Linked DNA regions of Struthio camelus. The protein of the gene in region 2 interacts with the protein of the main gene of each other region in a biochemical or structural test. Links are inferred from orthologs where the notes say so. Each region holds a gene or a part of one and is shown on either strand. Other genes may lie near its edges.

What was found.
Region 1: the proteins of AGO2 (region 2) and DICER1 form a complex in vitro, tested with the Homo sapiens proteins (2 studies listed by BioGRID and IntAct). The link is inferred for Struthio camelus from reciprocal best matches to the Homo sapiens genes AGO2 and DICER1.

What each region holds. Positions count from the first base shown.
Region 1 is NC_090946.1:67,304,032-67,314,367, reverse strand, and holds the start of DICER1 (endoribonuclease Dicer), read left to right. Parts: upstream 1-5,439; 5' UTR 5,440-5,664; exon of another isoform or gene 5,665-5,729; intron 5,730-5,731; coding exon of another isoform or gene 5,732-6,508; intron 6,509-6,803; exon of another isoform or gene 6,804-6,958; intron 6,959-10,336. Other genes in the region: uncharacterized protein C10orf95-like, read left to right, coding at 5,732-6,508. UniProt on the Homo sapiens protein: Double-stranded RNA (dsRNA) endoribonuclease playing a central role in short dsRNA-mediated post-transcriptional gene silencing.
Region 2 is NC_090943.1:168,309,582-168,320,387, forward strand, and holds the start of AGO2 (protein argonaute-2), read right to left. Parts: upstream 4,230-10,806; 5' UTR 4,014-4,229; coding exon 3,983-4,013; intron 1-3,982.

The DNA.
Region 1 (10,336 bases), on a different chromosome or scaffold from region 2:
TTGGCCCATCCTCCCTCATATCGAAGGCTTGTAGGCAGTAAGAGATTTCTGATAATGCTGTTGAGGATTTGGCATATTCGGGTCCAGTCCTGCTGGCAGTGCTGACTTCAGTACCATAAACATTAAAATCTCTAAATATAATTTGAGACGAGTAGCTTTTATTGGTGTAGCGAATGATGCTTAAGTGAAGAAAAAAAGGGTTGTGATGTTTTAAAAATTAAGTAAATTTTTTGCAACTGACTCCGTGATTAGGAATTTGCACGTGGATTAAGGGGGTTGAGGTTCAAACATGCAAGGCAGGTTACCTCAGATCTCGGGAGCAGAATCAGTTTTTGCAAGAGTATGGGATCCAAACTTCAGTTCTAATTCAAATACAGAATAGAAACTGTTGGAGTTAATTTCTTTTCTCTAAAGAAGGATAAAAGTTATTCTGCTAGCCACTGCAAAGATAATTGATTTTATTTTTATATTTTTTGTAACTTAAAGAAGATGCAAGCGCAACATAGGACATATGCCCATCTGGATCATGATCGTAATAAAGACAAGCATAGCGTTCATTTCAGACAAGGGACCAGTACGCACACTGCAGTTTTGTGGGAGCCCAAGCCTTCTAAGGATAAACCTCTGGCCATCACGCACATACTCTGGTTGCTAGTGTATACTGAAACCTGTGTTCTGTCTTCACTGCTTGTTTTGTATCTCATTGATAAACAAAAGATAGTGGGGGCAGGGGTACTTGTACCTTCAAATTGCTGGGCAGATATAACAAAATCTTACGCTTGAGCTGTGATTTCTGCTAAGATAGCAGCTAGCATAAACTAATAATCTTGAGTTGCTATTTGTATTGATATTACAAAGATTATTTCCAGGAGAATGCACTACAATAATTTAGGAAATGCCTTCCAGTGACTAATTCCATTACTTGGTTAGATGGTACCACTGGCAGTTCTCCGTCCCGGCCAAACTGTAAGCATTACCCTGGAATATGATGTGACATATGATCAAAGCAAAATATATAGCTCCATCTGCTGTAAATACTTTGAACTGATTATTTTTGCATTACTTTTTACGGCTGATCAGTACCCTGGGGAACTGATTTATCACTTTGCTGATAGAGATTATCTGCCTGTTAGCAAGAATCAGCGTAAGTGTAGCAGCTAAGTACATTTATACTTTGCAAGACGGTATTTTGCTTGATTCTGGGGCAAAAAATGAGTATAAAAAAGCATTTTACAAGGATATTAGGAACCTTTGTTAACTATTGTATGATAGATCCTTTGTACTGTGTCATTGTGAAATACAGCTGCTTATGAAATGCAAAAATTAGATTTGCCTAAAGTAACCTTAGTCAGCGATAGATATGAAGAGACTTCCAGTTATGCTTCTGCTAAGCAAGGGCTCTCCACAATAAGGAATAGCAACACTGTTTTTAGTCAATAGTCATGAAATGCTGAGTCCCTTCATTGAAAGAGTGAAGCAGTTGATAACACATTTTTATATTAATTTGAAAAGGTAAAAGAGCAGTTTGAAGAGGTCAAAAAGACACTAAAGCAATTAAAAATGTTAAAGTTTCTCTTGCAGTAGGGAAAATACCCTTATTTAGAGTTATGAAGTCTGGGTCATTGAAGTGTGAAAGCACTAAGGAAAAAGATTGCAAATAGCATCTTAGAGGGGACCAAAACTTTGTGCAAACCTCACACCTTTTTAAAATCTCAGCTCCAATTTTAGGAATGGATTCAGTTCAAATATAGGTTCTTGCTTTCTTTCAACTTCCTCCTCCATAGTCACACCTGCATCTTTTTCTCATAATACATTACATATGTTACTATTAGCAGTGTAGCCACACTTAATGTTTGTAACTGTCTCTTTTCTGCAGTGGTTCACAACTATGAACTAAAAAACCTGGTAGCCAGACAAGAGACTGGCTGAGAGGAAAGTCTCAAGTTAAATTTTCTGAAGGTGGGTGCAGAATAGTCACATCCTTTCCTATCCAGAAACTTGCTTACAACACTCTGGCCTGCAGTTGTTTCTGGATAACTGTCAGCTTATTTCAAAGTATATTATTGAAATAGTGTATGATATAGGGACAAAACAGCATCACGGCTGGTACCAGCAACAGAGAACAACAGAGGTCACCATTAACTTGCAAGAAGAATTATCTTCAGAATCCATTTTAGAATTTGAGAAGATAAATCAAATCAAAAAGCACAAAGCCTATTTTCTGCTGGCATAATTTCAAAATTCTATAGCATGCACAAGGCTAATTACTGAGTTTTGCAGAAACTGCATTTTTGCTTTTTTCTAACCTAAACACAAAGGTTTTTTTTTTTCTTACCCAATACGAAAAAAATAGAAACAAAACATACATTTTTGGAAAGGGGAAGGGAGAGAAATGTTTCTGTTTTCCTGTTGTTGTCTTACAACAGTTATCTCATTATCAGTATTTCCAGTTCTAAAGAAATGGAGAAAGCTATAATTTGGTGAATTATTCATTTATGCTGTTCTGGATTTTAATTAGCTGAGCTATTCAATTCCTTTCCCCCAATGGCCTGTTTGTTTTTAATCAAACATTGAATGTCAAGTAGTTGGAAATATGTGGGATTTTTAGAATTTTGTATTGCATTGATGAATTCAGCTTAATTTTCTTTACAAATCTTTTAAAGACATTTGTGAAATCAACATAAAAATCAATTTTTGATTTGGGGTTAAACTCTGACAGCTAGCTGTCACAATACAAGCATATGACATAAAATATCCATTCCTTACAAAGGAGAGAAGCTAGAGGTGATGGAATAACAAAGTACCGCACAAAGTTGATCCTAACTGTGCTTTTAAATCACAAACTCCTGTCAGCAGGCTTAAGGAGGAAGTAGCTGTGGAGAAAGACATCCTTTTCTTTATACAAAAATAACTTCCAGAATTCTTTTGGCATTTATATGCATTGTTTTCTGTGTTTTAAGAATTCTGCTTGCCTTCTCTTTGAATTGGATAAAATTGGATAAAATTCATTATTTAACCATGGCCTGCAAAGGATTGAAGAGAGTTTCCTTCTGCTCTATTTTACATTAGAAATAATCAAGAATGCTAATTTTCTTCAGTACTTCAGCTAAAATTGGAAAAATAGACACGTGTTCTGACAGCTCCCACTGGATAAGACTTAACAGCTGCTCCTCTTCTTAAGGTTTTATCATGGGATAGAATTAGTCTTCCATCCATAAAAACAGAAGGATACCCTTTGCATGCTACAAAAATACTTAATACTTCAATATTTAATAACATTAGCATTCCAGAAGAAGAGTTCTAAATGGCGACAGAGGTTTTAACCAAGTAAAGAAAGCACTTAATTTGATAATACTCTAGGCCTCCAAATCACTTTTCTCCCCAAATCATTTTACTAGAGTTTAAACCGTATAGTGCTCCAGTCAACTTTACCTTCTCAAACTGATTTTGTAGGCACACATAGTTGCATTATGCAAGGCAGTAAATCCCTGGTTGAGTGGGAATGGAATGAAGAAGGCTGCATCTCCAGTGCCAGATCTTCCACTGCATGTGCATAAAGTTTAGCACAACTTAAAAGGAGAGTGGTTAGCCAGAGGCAGCTTTTTATTAAATTTATGATCTTATTATAATCTGTTATGGAACAAGGAGGATCTCCAATCCCTGTGTAAGTAAATGTGATCTTACGATAGTCCTAACTTGCCTGCCTGGACTACCACAAACGTAACTTGTGCTATACTTGCACACCTGAAACAGCTTGCAGTGTTTTGCAGGGCCAACAGGATCAGTGAAATACAGTATACAACCAAATTTATCCACTGAGGAGACGAGGTGCCAGGAGCAGGCAAAACAGAGCCAGGTATGTAAATTTACATTATTTAAAGATTTCCTCGCACAAGAACGACCACATTGCCCACATGTGGCTAAATCTTTACATTGTTGGTGTAGTGATGTATGAGTAGTCCACAGACTTGACTGTTCGTTGGCACTATGGGCAGGTTTGTAGTCTTGTTCTTCTGAGCTTTAAGTGTATTGCTCTCATTACTATGGTAAAGTATACTTGATGTGGAAAACACATTTTTCTCTGCACAGACAGCATAAAAATTACTTCAAAGTAATGGTGCTTTTGGATATGTGTGGATATGAGTGAAGGACATGGAGAAAAAGTTAAGTAGGAAAACTGAATTAACAGTACAGATTTGCACTGCTTACATCCATCTTGTAGCACAGTTGGTCAGCGATTTCATTTGTTTTCTGGTTATACTGCAGCCCAATTCATACTTTAGATTTGTTCAAAGCTCTTTCATTGTCTTGCAAGTTTCACCTCAGTTTTTCCAGGGCACAGCTTCCAGATTTTGATATCAATGGCGTCACAGAAATAAAAGGTGGAAAATGGTAGTATGTGAAGTACCAGAAAAATTGTGTTCTGCTAATGTTTCAGCACCATACTTTTCCCTTATCTTGGGTTCTTCATCTGTGGGCACAGGTTTTTGACACTGGAGAAACAGTTACCCCGCATCAACTGTCTGTTTAACCCAAGGGATTTCAGGTTTTTTTTTTTTTTCTTAACGTAGTAGTAGTAGTTAGTAAAGTCACTTAAGCAAGTAAATGTTGACAAGAAACTGGAATGAGGCCCGTGGTTCAGCTAGCTGATACTCTGCCTCAAGCAATTGCAAAAGGAAGTGCTGTTCAGGGAGTACAAGAACCTCGCCACTGCCTGTGGTCCTTTCTTCTTCCACTGTCATTGACTTTGTGATGTTCGGAGGTATCTATCTCCCTAACTTTCCTTCTCTTTGGTATCTGTTTATGGACAGTATCAATCTATTCTTTCTTGAACCACTGATACTATTTGTCCTGTGGTGGCAATGGCTTCCAAGACCTTTCACTTTTATTGCTGCGAAACATTCATTTTTGACACCGTGATGAGAGAGACCTGTTCAACTTTCCTTTGTAAGGATGTAAATCTCCTTGCAGTCATAAACACAGTTCACCAGCTGGATGAGATCGCACAGCAGCTCTGTTCTGCCAGCTTCGACGAGCAGCAGTGAGCAGAGGTGGCTGCTGACCAGTAGCAGCCAGACCCACATCCATCTTGTCTGGGGCTAGCGCCAGCAAGAGCCGAGGGCGCTAGCTCCATGGTGGAAGAGCGGCTCTTTTCCTTTGGCAGGGAGGATACTCCTCAGAGAAATGACTGCCTCTGCGTAAGGAAAAAGTGGGATATAGCAACAGAGTAGCGAGGGAGGCCCAGATTCTGCTCGCCCTGAGCAGCCCTGCCTCAGCGGCAAGAAAAACTCCCTGGAGGCGGCCTCGCCGTCCCCACAGCCCGCACCAGCCTGGGGAGCCTCACCCCCTCCCAACATGGCGGGTGCTGCCTCGCCTCAGCCGAACGGCCGCCACCGCCTCTCGCGCGCGAGCCCCGCCCAAGCGCGTGCGCGGGGGGGGGGGGGGGGAGGCGGAACGAGACACGGCACCGGCGGCTCGGCGCCTCGCGCTCCTCCGGCCGGGGGAGGGGAGAGGGCACACACGTGAGCCCCTGGACCACCCCGCATCTCCTCAACCGCTGCTGTATCTCGCCATCTCATTGGCTAGCCTGTGAACCTTTCACCTTTTACCCAGCTGTTGCCGCCAATCGCCTGGCTCCTTTCATGCTGCGGGGATGTGGAGCGTGTGAGCTGCGCAGGGTGACATTCTCGGAGCGGGCTTGCGTTGCGGGCGTTGGGCGGCCCCTGTTGGTATGGGCGGGAGGGGTGGGGAGGTGCTCCGTTTGCGTAGGGCCGGCAGCGCAGGGGGAAGGGAGGGGGAGGAGGCTATCCCGGGCCCAGGTGAATGGAGGAACCTGACAGTTGGGGGGAGCGAGGAGGCGGCGGCGGGGAAATGGCGGCGGCGGCAGCAACACAATGAGACGCGGCCTGTAGTGGGGGGAAGCGCCGGGCTGGGTCCCGTCCGAGCAGGTAGGAGATGGCGGCCCAGGCGCGCCTGCCCTCGCCGCGGCGGCTGCATGGCGGCCGGGCACGGGTGCCGGAGCCCAGCGCCCGCGCCGGCCCGCGCTCTCCCCCGCCGCGGCCGCGCCGCGCCGCCGGGGGGTGGAATGGCGGCGGGCGCTGCCTCCCCGCCCTCCGGCCGCTGGCCCCGGTTAGTCCTGCCCCGCCTCCGTCCCAGCCGCCGTCCCCGCGGGCGCCCCGCTGCTCCGGCCGCCGCCAGCACCGACCTCCGCCATCGACCCCAGCAACTTCCCGCCGCCGGCAGGGCCCGGGCCCCGCGCGTCGGGTGGCGGCAGGGCCCGGCCGGCGCCGCCGCCGCGCTCCGGCCCCTCTCGGCCGGCTTTGTCTCGTCGCTGCGCGCCCCGCGGGCAGCCGCGCTCGGGGCCTGCCGCCGTGCGCGCTTGAGGGCCCGCGCTCTGCCCTCTCCGGGCTGCGGCTTCCCGGAGCGGTTGTGCCGTGTTGCGTGGCGGGGGTTGGGGCGAGGAGTGCAGGGCAGCAAACGTGTTTCCACTCTTCGGTGCTACGGTTAAGGAGTTATATGAAATTCTTAGCTCTCTGCTTTTCTTTTTCTTTTTTCTTTTTTTCCTCCATCCTCGTCCAATTTAAGTGAGGACTGTCCGCATAGAGCGGCAACGCAGTGGCAACGTGGTTAGGGCATACCTTATACTGTGTGATCTTAGGCTGAAAAGACAAAAGATGAAAAAGCAAATATTTTTTGTAATAGGATTTAATACTAGTGAGATAATAGATAATGTAGAAAATCCTCAATAGATAGAAAAAGGATTGTAGCAATGACATTTTGAAATATTCTTTGTTTATTTATAGAAATGACTGTTTCCAAAATATAAGTGACTGATGCAATTGTCTTCAACTGCTAAAAGTCTGGAGGATGCTTGGCGCCTCAGATAATGAGTTATGAGTATTCTTGGTGTTAGGATACTGAGCTTCAAGATATGCAGTGCCTCGCCTGATGAAAGCATGTAGGTTGGAAGGTGGTTGCCACTCTCAAAGAAACAAGACAAAGGGCGAATCAAATCAGAATTAACTTTGCAGAAACTTGGTTTACGCTGTTTTACTGTGTTTGAAGGGCTTTTTGATTTACAGACCATTTCGGATGCCCAGCTGAAGTGCAAACAGCATACATGTTTTTTATTGAGATAGATGTGAGGGTTTCCTTGTGGGTGTGGGTGGGTTTTTTGTGTTAAGTTGATACAGATGCAAACTGGAATTGATTTCTATTAAGCCAGAATTATTGTCCTAAATCCTTAAGAGGGACTTTCCTGTTGTCTGTCTTTACAAGATACGTTGTAATCTGTATAACTATATAAAAGGCTTGAAGATGCTACTAGAAGTTTTCAGCTGGAAGGGGCGTGCACATGTATGATCTCCCAATTGTTTCGTCATTGTTCTTAATCCATAGGATTTAAAAATGTGTATGTATTTGTTCAGACTCTGAATTAGCTACTGCTGTTTAGGAAAGTATCTTGATCTGATAGAGTTCAATGAAAATGGCAGCTCAGTACTCATCAGTAAAAAGAAAATAATGTTAGAATTTACAAATAATTGACAATCAAATGGCATCAGTATGCTATTGTGCAAGTCCATGCTGGACCCTTACTTTTAACACTGCATGCAGTTTGGGTGTATCTTTCTTCCATATGCCAAAGGTTATGTTAGACTAAGAAAAGGTAGAGAGAAAGCTGACTAGGTGGCTTAAGTACTAGAAATTTGTAGCCAGTTGAGATGCCAGAAGAGGAATAAGAGAGATGTCTATGCAATATAGTTGTGAAAAAAGCAAGTTAGGAGCAGTTGTTAGGGTTTCCCTCCCCTCCGCTTCTTTGAGGTTTCTGTAGTTGACAGATTCAAATCAAACAAAAGACAATCTTTCACATTCTGTTTAGCTAGAATACCTGCTTCAACAGCACATTGGGAATGCCAAAACCTTACATAGAGGTCAAAATAATTGGTTTGTAAAGAAAAAAATTCATCGGAGACTGTCAAGCACAAAGACTTAGAAAATGTCAAGGTGACTGGTCAGTGGAAAGTAGTACTGCTTGCCTAGCTATTACGTTCCTTCCTACGTGTCCTCCACTGGTCACCAGTAGAGGGAAGCCAACAAGCTAGAAAGATATTTTGTCCGACACAATGTTATTCTAATGTTTTAACATAAATTACACTGATTGATTGAGAAATGCCTTGAAGAGTTGTAGCTTAAAGATTAACAACAACAAAAAGGCTGAACCTGTAACTCAAAACACTGTTCCCTTGGTTTTTTTGTATATTCCCTAGATCTTTCTCATTTCCCATTCCAAAAATTAGTAAGGGCTTTTTCACATTCTTCAGGAAAGTTCATAGGTGGTGCAAAGTTGCTTTAGCATACCTTATTACAGAAACTGAGTATCACTGCTTCACCCATGTTGCCTTTCAGTATGAACTGGGTAAACTTGTATCTCTCTGTAACCAAATGCAAGTTACTGGCAGAGACAAATAGAAGGTGTTTATCCTTCTTGTAAAGGTCAGTAACTTAGTAAAATGGATATGGTAAACTTGGAGGTTGACATATTTCTTTGATTTATCTTCTAGATAAACTGTAGAATAGGATTGACAGCAAGAATTCCATTTTGAAAAGGATTGTACACTTACAGATGACAAGCATTATGTTATATAATAAGTACTGAGAATACAGACAAGAACGTCAAAACGTTTTTTTTGAAATGGATTATTTCTTAATTCTCTGTGGGAGTAAAGGGTTCTGGGTAATTTTTTTTTCCTGTCATGTTGGTGCTACAAACTAGAGAGTATACTGAGCGTGATGCATCATTGGTGGGGCAGTGAGATGGTTCATATGCTCCACTTTCTTGCTTTACTAATGATTAGCTGTGCAGCCACTGACCATCTGTATCCTATCTCTGTCATATGTTCAACAGTAGTTTCTGCAGGCTGATAGCTGCTTCCTTAAAATAAATTCCTGTGCTGCCTTTAAAGAGCAAAAAATAAAAATTAAAAAATAAAGTAAAATAAAAAAGTAAAATAAAAAGTAAAAATATAATATTGTACAGAACAGTAACCTCAGCATGTGATACGCTATTAGGATATTCTGTCCTGAAGACTAACAGTGATGACTGGAGCAGAGGAGAAAGCGAGATTTCCTTACACCCTCCAGACTGCTTTCTTCATCTTTTTGCCTTTTATGACTTCCATACGAAATGTGATTAAACCAGTAGAGGAAAAACTGCTACACAGTAAAAAGTACACTTCTTAGCTGAAGTTATTGCAGTCTGGGCTTGGGATTTGAAGACCTGAGTTTCCCTGCTTGATCAGGGAGGTTGGACTAGATGATCTCCAGAGGTCCCTTCCAACCTAAACCATTCTGTGACTTAGTGTTCAAATGGTGCTAATTGTTTGAGGGGATGGGCAGACATAGGCATGTAATCAAAACAGCTGTTCTAAAAGGTTTAATCTATAGGACAAAACAGTGCACACTTTCTTTTTAAAAGCTTATACTGTGATAATCTATTAAGTGAGTGCTCTCCATTTTGGTAGTTCTTACATGCTTTGTCGTCTTAGTCATAAATTTTCAAATTTGAAAGTTATATCTAAATTTCTCTTATTTCTACTCTTTATTGTAGACTGCATTAGCTGAGTAAAATTTCTGTGATACTTGTCACTTTCAAACTGCTACTACTTTTGGAGTAGTAGAGCAGAAAATTGAAACTGTGGTCGAGGAATTGACTTGCATTATTGTGCCTGCTTTTGTGGAGGAATGAGGGAAATGATATGACCTTCTCCAGTAGAAAAGAAGAAAATATTGTTCAACTTCTCCTTGCATCAATACACCTGAAGCCAAGAGATGCTTGTACCTCTTGTCATGGCTTTTACTTCAGGGGATACACACCGGTGAATCTGCTATTCCTATTTTGCTTGGTATAGGTGTTACTTTTGGGTCCCCTCTTACCAGGAAAAGAGGACCAAAAGTGTTCTCCTTTGATCCTTGCTAATACGTAGTAGTATTGTAGGAAAATCTTTTATTTTTCATGTGCTTTTTCCTCTTTAAGGTTATGGCTCGGTACTTACAACACTGCCGTGTAACCTGGCTTAATCAGTTTCTGACCATGTGCTGCATCTTCTGTCGCCACCAGAAAGGATCAGTTCCTTGACTGGTTTCACCAAATAAGTGCGCCCATGCATGCATGCATGCATCTAGGACACAGCAGAGTGGCTGTTGGCTCGAGGGACTGATTGTTGGGGCAGAGGTGGGCAGGTGGGGGCTATTGAAGCTGGCATTGTCATTGGAGAAATGGCTCATCAGACTATGCCTTTGTGGTTTTTATTTTATTTGTATGCAAAACAAACAAACA
Region 2 (10,806 bases):
TGACAACAATATTTTAAAAAAGTTACCTGCGTTTTGTACATTGTAGGCTGTCAAATGTGATTTAAGTCTAAAAAAAAAAAAAAAAAGTCTCATGCAAAAAAAAAAATTGAGCGCGCTGTATATTAAATTATCATTTCCTCTTTTACATATGGCAGCTTATAATGAATTTCAACATAATTTACTGTCTAAAATTAAGCCCCAAAAACCTGTGCAAACATGTGATACCAGCAGGACAGCACAATACAAACAGGCCCAGTTTCAACCTAAAAATAATATTAAGAGGCTTTCTAAGAAGTAAAAGATTGGGCAGGTGATGAGGAGACCCTTGATACAAGGGAGTTCTTGGTGTTACTGAGGCAGGTGCCAACAGCCTGCTACAGAAAACTCAAACTTGTTTTTCATACCAGGAAAAAAAAAAAGTTTATTTTATACGTAAAGCAACAACCCCCTTTTTTTTTTGAAGTCACCTTTTTTCCAAGTAAGTGCTCCTTCAACAACAAATTAAAACCTCAGATAGTGAACAAAAACAAATATTCTTTCAAATAAAGAAAGAGACAACCTATAGCATGCAAAGTTTAGAATTTATAAATATGTGAATACTAAGCAGTGCAAGTTTCAGAAGTTTGTGCAAGTTTCAATCACTTCCTCAAACTCAACTGATCTAACAACAGTATTTTTATTATACCTCCTTGATATCTTCCTGTCCTTCTAGGAAAACACATCCTAAAAAGTATCTATATTAATTAAAAAAAAAAAAAAAAAAGTTTCATACTTTCAAAACTGTAGTCTTTCTATAGTCTCTTGAAGGAGAAGGAGCACCAGTGTAAAGTCTCAAAGCTGAACAATATTTTGGGAAAAAGGAATGGAGATCATAGCTTTTCTAATCATAAAAACGTGATCTGTACACAAACATCTTACTCTCTTGTATAAAAATATTTTACTCCCAATGTAACAGCATGTTAGAACAAAGTTTCCAGGTTTAGCTGCAATTTTTTTAAATTAGTCAGATGCAGCCTCCTAACTTGCTTTATACTGTTTCCAGAAAAAGAATGAAGATTAAAATAGCAAACCCTGTGGCAAATTGAGTGATTACATTGGCAGAGGGCCAACACCACAAACACCCTCAGAACAGGGATGGCTGTGGTGTCCAGTTTGGTGACGGGAGCAGGAAGAGTAAAGTAGCTCGTATGCTGCAACATCGTTCAACGAACCACCAAACAGCGGCCAGACCCAAGTTACAAGAGATATGAATGGAGCATTTAAGCTGCGTCAAGGATGTGGTGACAGACATGTAGAGGCTGGAGCTCTCCTGCACTTACAGCAGCTGTGCCTTACTGAACGTCTGCGAACCACACTCCTGCTCGCTCATTCCTCTGAAGAGGATCTCAGCATACGCTCGCTTGATACGTATCAGATTAACACGTGGAAGGGGACTTTCACTAGCAGTGCACAGGCCACGTTTAGCCTACAGGACAAAACCAAGCACCCTGCTGACAGTCTCCGTTTCCAGACTGGTTCACAATACAGCTCTTCCCTCTTTAAAAACTCTAATCAAAGGTCCTGCCGTATGATTTGATGCAGAACGGGAAGCTTTTTCGGATTGCTAAAAGCCACTGCCCTGGTAAGGCTCTCTGTGGATGACTGCACAGGAAGGAAACGATGCGGACAACAACTTGCAGCTCGTGCTCTAGACCAGACGCTGTCCCTGCCTGGCTCTGCAGAGGGAAAAAAAGCTGAGCCCAAGATAAACTGGGAAGTAAACGAGACAGAAGACGAGCTTAGTTGAAGGGAGCGGAATAGCAGAAGCCTGCGGCACCGGACAGCAGTGCTTGCAGAGAAATAGCAGCTCAGTAAAGGTATGGTGTTTGCTCTCTGGGGCTCAGAGAGGGTTGTTCTGATAAGGGGAAAAATACACATACGCACTGGATCTGGCAGTAAACAGCAACCACCTGTGCCAGTGTTGTGGAAGTAAGATCATTCTGTGTAGAAGGGACACTGTTAGGATCAGATAAAGAGCAAACGGAAGAAGATAGACTGCTCCCACATGTAAACCTGCTCTCAGTCCATATACTGGCAATTTTTTCAATGATTTGGTTCCTTTAAAAAACAAAACAAAAAAACCCCACCTCCAGATAGGTGAAGAACCCTTATATACAATTTTGCAAAAGATGTAACAATAAGGGGTGAACGTAACAGCCTTAACAGCAGCACAATTTAAGCACCAAGATTATCTGCACACTGAAAGTGAACAAGAGAACCTGACACTAGAAGCCAAGCAAATGATAAAGTAAGTATTTATGCACAGCTATTGGTACTGAAACTTGAAGACAGCCCAATACTTAAAACCAAAGTATTGAACGTCATCAGTCTGGATGCACGCGGCTACAGCGGTCTGTCTTCCTGCTGTGTATAGTAAAAGCCTTCATGAACTACAGGAAGAAAAGCAAGGAAGAATATAGCTCTTCTGGTTTTCCTAAAAGGACAGCTATCGTCCCGGTCCTTTCTCGATTCTCTTTCCTTCAGGGTAATAGTATCAGACAGAAAAGGGGGGGGGGGGGGGGGGGGGAAGAGGAAGCCAGCACCTAACTGTAGATCCTAAGGTGAATGCTGCTACTGTGGCAGCATTTGCAAGAGAGAAACAGTAGAAGGGTCCGAGCTACAGGTCCTATATTGTTCTGCACTTTTCCTTACTAGATCTTCCCTTCACGGGAAAAAGATTTTACACAAACCTATGAAGAACAGTAATATAAAATACAGGAAGTTTCACTTTTAAACTTTTTCTGGAAAAAAAAAAAACAAGGTAAAAATAATAGTTTCTACATTAGGAGAGTTGTTTTCTTTTCGAGCGTTAGGCTAACTACACGCTAACGACACAAGCTCTCACAATACTAACTTATCCTTCCCCTTGAACAACACTAGCGTCCCCGAGCAAGTTGCTAGCGCTTCTGCTGCCCGCGTCCTCCTCCCCCTTCGCTCACAAAAATCCACCGAAGTCTGAAGGGCGACTGAAGGCGAGAACCTCACCGGATCCCTATGGGACAGCGGGACGCAGCCCCCGCCCGCACCCCAACAGCCAGGCCGCGGCTGCAGACACGCCGCCGGGCAAAGGCGGCCGCGGCACCCCCGGCCGCTGCGAGGGAGGAAATGGAGACCCCCCCCGCACCCCCCCCCTTCTCCAACCACCTCCGCCGCCCCCGTCCGCGCCGCGCTGCCAGCAGGAGGCCGAGCTGGCACCAACGGCCGGGGCAAGGCGGCACGTAAGCGCATAGAGGGGGGACGAGGCGGCCGAGGGTGACCCGCCGCTTGGCGCTGCCCCAGCGGCCACCACAGAGCCGGGCCCCGGCAAGGGGGAGCGGGGCAGCCCCTTCCTCTCGCCCCTCCCCGCTGCCTCGGGGCTCGCCGCCGCGGGAGGGAGGGAGGGAGGAAGGAAGGGGAGAGGAGGGCAGAACACACGGCGACCCTCCCCTCGAAGGGGCCTCAGGACACGCAGGCTCACTCGCCTCCCTCCCCGAGGTGGTGGCGGCGGCGGCGGCCTGACCCCTCCTTCCCCCGCCAGCGCGGCCTCGGACGGAGGCTACGAGCGAGCAGGCCCGGGCCGGGAGGGCACTGAGGTGGGGGCGGATGGGGGGGGGGGGAGGGCGGCCGCGCGGATCTTCCCCCCCCCCCCCAACGTCTCGCCGGCGGCCGTTGGCGCCTCGCGGCGGCGACGGTTGGGGGGGGGGGGGCAGAGGGGGCGCGTGCGGCGCCTCGCGCTGACAGACCGCCGCGTGCGCCAACGGTCACCCACCTCCCCCCCCCACACACACACCCCTCCTCCGCCTTCCCCCCTCCCCCCCCCAACGCCGCACACGGAGCCCGAGTTCAAACCTTCCCCCCCCCCCACCCCCGCACCCAACCCCTCCACAACACGCCGCGAAGCGACTGCGAAAGTCGGCGGGGCGGGAGGTGAGGGAAAGGGAAACCGAAGCGGCCCAAACCTCACCGGGTCCGGCGGAGGTGGCTCCCGGGTACATGTCTCCGTGTACGGCGGCGGAGGCGGCGCCTCTCTCCGGCTTCCCTACCGCGGCGGCAGCTCGAGGGGAGGGAAAGGGGAGGAGGGAGCGAGAGAGCCCGAGCCCCGGCTACGCTGTCGGCGAAGGGGGAGGAGGAAGGAGGGGGAGTGGGAAAAAAGAGGGAGGAGAAGGGCCGGGCCGACGCCGGGAAACCAGGTTACTCGGCGGCACCGAGGAGCGGGGCGGTGGGTGGGGAGAAGGGAGGAGCCGCGGGGGTCACGGGGCAGGGGCGCCCCGCCCGCCGCCGCCGGCTCCCTCCCGCCGCCCGCGGCGCCAGCCCCGGCCGCTCGGCGCTCGCCCCCTTTCTCTCCCGCCGCCTCCTCGTCTTCTTCCCTTCCCCTCCACGGATTTCATCAGCTGGCGCCGAACAGCTCACGCGCCCTCAGAGCCCTCCGCTCTTTTTACAGTCTTTGCCAGTGTGGCTAACCCAGCACGAACGGGTCTTTCTAGGCCCTGGAGTCACCCACCGGGAAGAACCGAGGCCTTCGGGCAGGTGTATCGTCATCAGTCAGGCTAAAACAAAGTGTGTGCTGCAGCCAGGGCTGCTGGAGACCCCTCTTTCTACCAGAGCTTGGTAAATAAAACACTAAGTTCCTCTAGCTCCCTCTCCGCTACTTTAAGGCGGCCTGCCTAGCTACGCCACGTGACAGGGATGATGGAGCGGCGTCAGTGTTATCTGTACTGCCTGTGAATGCCCTGTTTACTTGAAAACGGGGTTTAGTTCCTTCAGTTCTTCCTCCCCACAGCCTCACGCAACAAGGGCAACGCTGCTCTGAAAAACCTCGGATCGCTCACCTCGTGGATCTCACACCTCCATGCTGCATCCACTTCTTGTCGTACTTATGAAACCCAGCTGTGGTCTAGTACCTAGCGTATTTTACAAGATAATCTCTGGTCATAAATTTAATACAGGAGAATACCAACCAGTAATTTCTATAATGTGAAAGAGACAGTATTGGTCAGTATGATGCACGGAGACCCAGAGATAGCAGTGATGATGATGATTCCTTCAAGAGTCGTCATCCTTTTGAAATCACCTCATTGGTACTTCTTCCTTTCAGGAGGAGAAAGTAGGAATAAAATTCTTAAAGCCTGTTATGGATGCAAAAGGCAAGCTGATGCCACTCGCTGCCACCAGAAAGTGTTAGTTACAGAGTTAGAATATAGCAACGCTGATCTATAGTTTCACGTACCTGCTCTACTCCTCTCATTTAGATGAAACCTCTTAAAAAAGCCTGAAAGGAAGCATCCCAGGACAGTAAAGCCCTTTCAAAGTCAACTGAATTCCTTCAGTAAATACTACTTGTGCTAAAGCACAAGGTGAACGTACTGCTTGCGTTGTCAGTCAAGCCAGCATCCTCCTTCACCAGTTTACATCTGAAGCTCTACAGAAGCATCCCACTATGCCAGAGTTACGTCAGCTATACATCCACTCTTCCCTTTGGGTCATACTGATAGATATTCAAAAGTCTCTACTCTGAGCTCAGCTTTCATTTCAAGCGTACTGTACCTAAAACCGTTGTCACCACTAGACTTTCCAGGGGAAGGATTATTCTCCAGGCTCCTCTAGTTGCCAGAAAGTTAAAATTTACTGGTAACTGCAAACAAATAAAGGACAAAATCATGAGTCAAAATCGGTAAAGAGACATACTGTAGCAAAATTGTAAAGATAGACTTTGAAGACAGCCAAGGGAGCTGTCAAAGGGATTGCTGTTGTCCCCTCTGAGGATTTGGGTAGATTTTTTGCATAAACACCATTAATTCCTTGTTTATGCTAAATAGTCTTTCCAGAGGCTGGAAGCAGAACAAAATCCAAAAAAACAACGAGCCAAAAGAGAGTCATCTGAGGCAACTCTGCGCTTCTGCTCTATTAGACGGTACTAAATGCTGAGGTGACAGTGGGAACTCATGCAGCCCCTGTATCAGCATCGAAGGTTTTGATATTATATTTAAATCAATCTCTTCTGTTCTTTCTGATTAGGAAGTTTAACATGCATCGTACGATGCCTGTTAGATCTTCTGCATTTAAGGACAAGAGAGCATGAAAATACACTGGTCTCTCGAAAATGGTCTATTGAAAGTGATGATCATGGAGAAGTTAGCATCCAGTAGCCATCACCTGATCTCACACATTAAGCCTAAATTTACTGCCTCACCTCAGCAGCGGCTCAGCTAAGTAGCTGTGGTCCTCCCTTAGCACTTACCACTACACGCACGTGTTCAAAAGTTTCATGTGAGAGACTAGAAGGAGGGGAGCTAGTATAGCTTTTATCATATCAGCAGTTTATTTATTGTTTTAGCAAGATAAATTACATGGTTTATGTTTGCTATTCACAGAATGCAAGATGAAAATAAGCCATCATCACAAGTAACCACAGCATTTCAAAATTAGTGACTTTTTAGCCTGGCATCTGATGTGATGTGGCAGTAACATATATACCACCACCATTAGCACACCTCACGCATTAGACAATCAGATGCATTAGCACTCCAAAATTTTATTAAAGCTGACCTACTTCAAGTATGATAACATAAACTTTTCATTTATAAGTTTGTACTCTTAAGTCGTATTTTGGGAGAATCAGCTTTCATATTGTAAAAATTTTAACCACACAAAGTGCACAGATTTAGGTTATGAGGGCTATATTTCAGGTTAAGAGGATTTGGTCAACGGACCTCCAGGACCATCACTGCATACTGCAGTAAAATAGTCCTTCCCAATTATGACTCCAACGGCAATTCCTAGGGGGAGGAAAAAAACCCACAAATAACAGATGCATGGGTCTCCTCAGAAAAACAACACAACTTACATTCGCAAAAACATCAGTAATCTAGGCTTGCCTAATTTGGTCGCCTCAACCAGTAGCACTTGAGCTAACCTCCATCATAACATTCACACCTTTGGGGCCCGCAACACGGATAGAAAGGACAGGAGCAACAACTACTGCATTATATTTTTCCACGTGAAGAAATACCTGCTCATGTTGGTAGATGTGTGGCATGAGCTCAGTACAGACTTCCAGGAAAAAGGCCCTCTCCCCATCCTGTAGTTCTAGAAACGCAGATCTTCCTGTCCCACCTTTCTACACCATTTGGCTCGTGAAATGCTGGCGTGAAAGCAATGGTCAGTGAAGCTTACACGCTGAAGGGATATACCCACATGGAACTTCATCTGACACCGCACACGGCTGCAAAAGAGAAGAAAAATATCTGCTCATGATTGTACCTGCTAGCGGTTTGAAGACAGCACAAGCTAACAAGCAGTAGAAGATAGGTGATATACAGCAGGAGGTTTCACAAGATGGTAAACACATAGCCCACACTTCTCTTGGGCTCCAGAGGACGCTCTGCAATTGATTTCAGAAATTACCTGGAAAATATAGATGCTGAAAACAGCAATTAATACCTGGAACTTCCTAGATTGCAATATACTCATATTGATTTAGAGCTGATTTTTGTGGATTTAGAACTTTATAAGCAAAAGGGCATTATCACTGTGTATACATGACTGCGGACTTGCACAATCAGTTAAATAGTAAATCAGTTAAATAGTTTTATTTAACTACTGTTTTCTCATGTAGACAAGTTCTGTTCTTCCTTTAGGCTGTTTTCATGCTACTCTGCACTTTCAGCAACTTTTCTGTGTGTCGAGGAAAGAGGAGAGTTACAGCTCTTGTCTACCCTCCTCTTGCAGTTACAGGGCACACGCTCATTTTGGGCCTGCTAACTTGTTTTACTTCTAAAGCTTTCTCTTAATCATTTTACCTGACAATTGATGTTCCAGAGCGCACTGAAAACTAATTACACCTTACCAGGCAACTTCGCCAAAAAAGACACCAGTTTTTGAGAAGACTGAGGCCAATGTGGTTTGAAAACTCTATAAAAGCATTCCTATATACATGCTCCTCATGCACTATATTAACAATTACGCAGTAGTTTAAGAAGAATTGCTGAAACATTCAAAAATGTTTTTCTTTAAAGAAAGATTTGACTGACTGTTGGCCACAATACCCTACCATAACTGCTGGATTTAAAGTTGAAATTTCCCAGAACTGATATCTGCCAAAGAAGGAATCATTGTTTTTGGAAAAAACAAGCAGCTTTTAGTCATTTTGGAAGAGAAAATGGTATTTATGAACAGCTTTTAAAAATGACTTATATCAGCAGCGGCAATCATCTGGGATAAATATTTCACATACAAATAGTCTAGTGGCAAATATATGGCTTCTCTTCTGGTGAGAAAATGTGCATTGATTTCACTAAGTAACAACCCTCCCCTTTTGAAACTGAATTAATTTTAAAACCACATTTTGTGAACGTCTGTTAGACATTGTTAACAATGTTAAACGGTAAGAATTTTTACTTGGAGAAAGATCATGTAGATTTGATTTGTGACTCTGAGGAGATTCTAACTTATATTGTATTAGATGTAATGTATTAGATTTCTCACATATTCTCTATCCTGCTTTGCATAATAATAATATAAAATGAATGAGATCAGAACAAAAGAGAAAACGACCGTGACTCTATCATCTAATGTTTTCACATGGTAGATAGACTCGGAGGGTCTCTTCTCCAGGGACTGTTTACTTGTGATGAAAAGAGTGATCAGTAAAATAATAATCTGCAGTAGAGGGACCAAAACCTAATATTGTCTCCCTATACCTAGGTGACTGTACTAACCGCTAAGCTAAAAAGACATACTTTATTTCATTTACCAAATGAAATGTAACACTTACTTATTTATATTAAAAAAATATATATTATTACTAGATTCCTGACTTCATTTCACTCGAGAAGTACTCACCTTCCTAGGTGATGGGGTCCAATATTACAACAATTAAACCCTATGAAAAAGGTGCAGCACCACCTATTGGGGATATGGACTGTGCACTTACCATTACAATAGTAGTAGAAGTTTGTTCTATTTTTTGCTAGTCATCTACCATCTGCACAGGTTTCTGAGCTGGGCTTCCCCCTTCAGTTGTGAACTCAGGCATGAGAATATTTCTTGGATTTGAACCTAATTATCAGCAAAAACAAAACAGATAGGGGACAAAAAAGACTCAGCTAAGGAGAAAAGTCATTTCCAAAAAGAATAAGGGAAGCAAATACTGCACCTGAGGCCGTTCTTGAACAAATTTGGAAAAACCAAATTAATGGTCTCCAGATGCTTTCCCAATTTCCAAAAAAACCCACCAGACTCAGCATGGCACAGTAGAATGCCACGTGTTCTAAAATCCTACCATGCAAAGAAGAAACCGAGATCTTTCCTGGAAAACAGTTGCAGGAGGGAATGCCTATCCTGCTTAACAGGAGGTAAATGGTGGCTCAGAACAGCAGTAAACAGAAAACAGGGCAACCTGACAGCTACTGGCACCTTCCCCCTCTTGAAGTCAGACAGACTTTACCCAAGCGCCTTTGGGTAAAGCCGCTGGCACTTTGATCAACAACCTGAAGTTCATTGGTTTTAGCATTAGCGTTGCTAATTGCTAAAAACAGGAGATAAAGGCTTGCATAGCCAGATTAATATCCTCCCAGGGCCAGTGAACGAATTGGACTGTTTGAACAAGATGACAACAGCAGACTTCCAATAAAGAAAGATAAGTGCAAAGAGATTAAGGTGGATGGTAGTAAAAAAGACAACCTAAAAGGGTTTAGCTACTGCCAAGTCCCTTCACTGTCATACTGTGACTACTTTAAGGAGACTATGAAAAAATACAGAAGATGCAAGTGATTCTGGGCAATATGAAGCGTATTTAGAAGCTAAGGTAATCTGTTTGGGGTTTTTTTTTGGGGGGGGAGGAGGGTGGCCTTTTTCAGTTGAGCAGTCATATCTTCTCTCATTCTTGGGTGGATGGGCAGGCACGCAACTTTCCTACCTGCTGGTTTTATACCTGGCTGAGCTTCTAAGTCGCATGTTGTTCCATGTTTTGAAATGCTGTCTTCAAGTTGTAGATGTAAGATGCTGCCATTTCACCTGTCTTACTTATTCTTACTCCCTCGATATCAAGTCACAAGGTAATCAAGCTTTCTAGAACCCCAGCATGATTTGGGTGAAAGAGAATAACACATGCTTGTGTGCCTGCCGGGCATCTGAAAGTGGCCCTTTCTCTTCTCAAGTTGCATTGAGTTAGTGTTGCAACTAAAGCAGGGGCCTGTAGCACCCCTGAAAGCAGAAGCACACTAAGCAGACTTTAATACTGGCTCATTTTGAACCGAAACATAAGCACGCTAATGTAGCGTATCTTAAAAAGACAAAATTCCCCAATTGGCAAGCTAAGGTAAGAGAAAGATCAGCTCCCCGCAGCAAAGAGTTCCTGTGTTTAGCCACCTTGATGACTATCGAGGACCATAGTCATACTCTAACTCTGCCCCATCAGCTCTGTAGTACTGTATTCTCACAGCTAATTTAGCATAAAAGTGTTAAGGACGGACTGCTTTGTATATGTAGTGATAGTGACTGATAATCAGTAAGAACGAATACGCAGTGATAACAATTTTGAGAACTAATTATTAGTATGGAGTGTTTTGTTAATGAATGTCTGTCTAGCAAAGCTTTGTTTTAAATTTTAAAACTGATGTGCTATATCAGTCCCCATCACAGCACGCCCATCACAGCAGTGTCCAAGTCCCTAAATGGGTGTGTGTGGGAGTGTGTGTTCGGATGCCGACAGTTGTACAAATCACGGACAGTTGCAGGATCAAAAACAAAGCATGCACTGCTGCAAATTTCTAGACCTCGCTCTGGTCC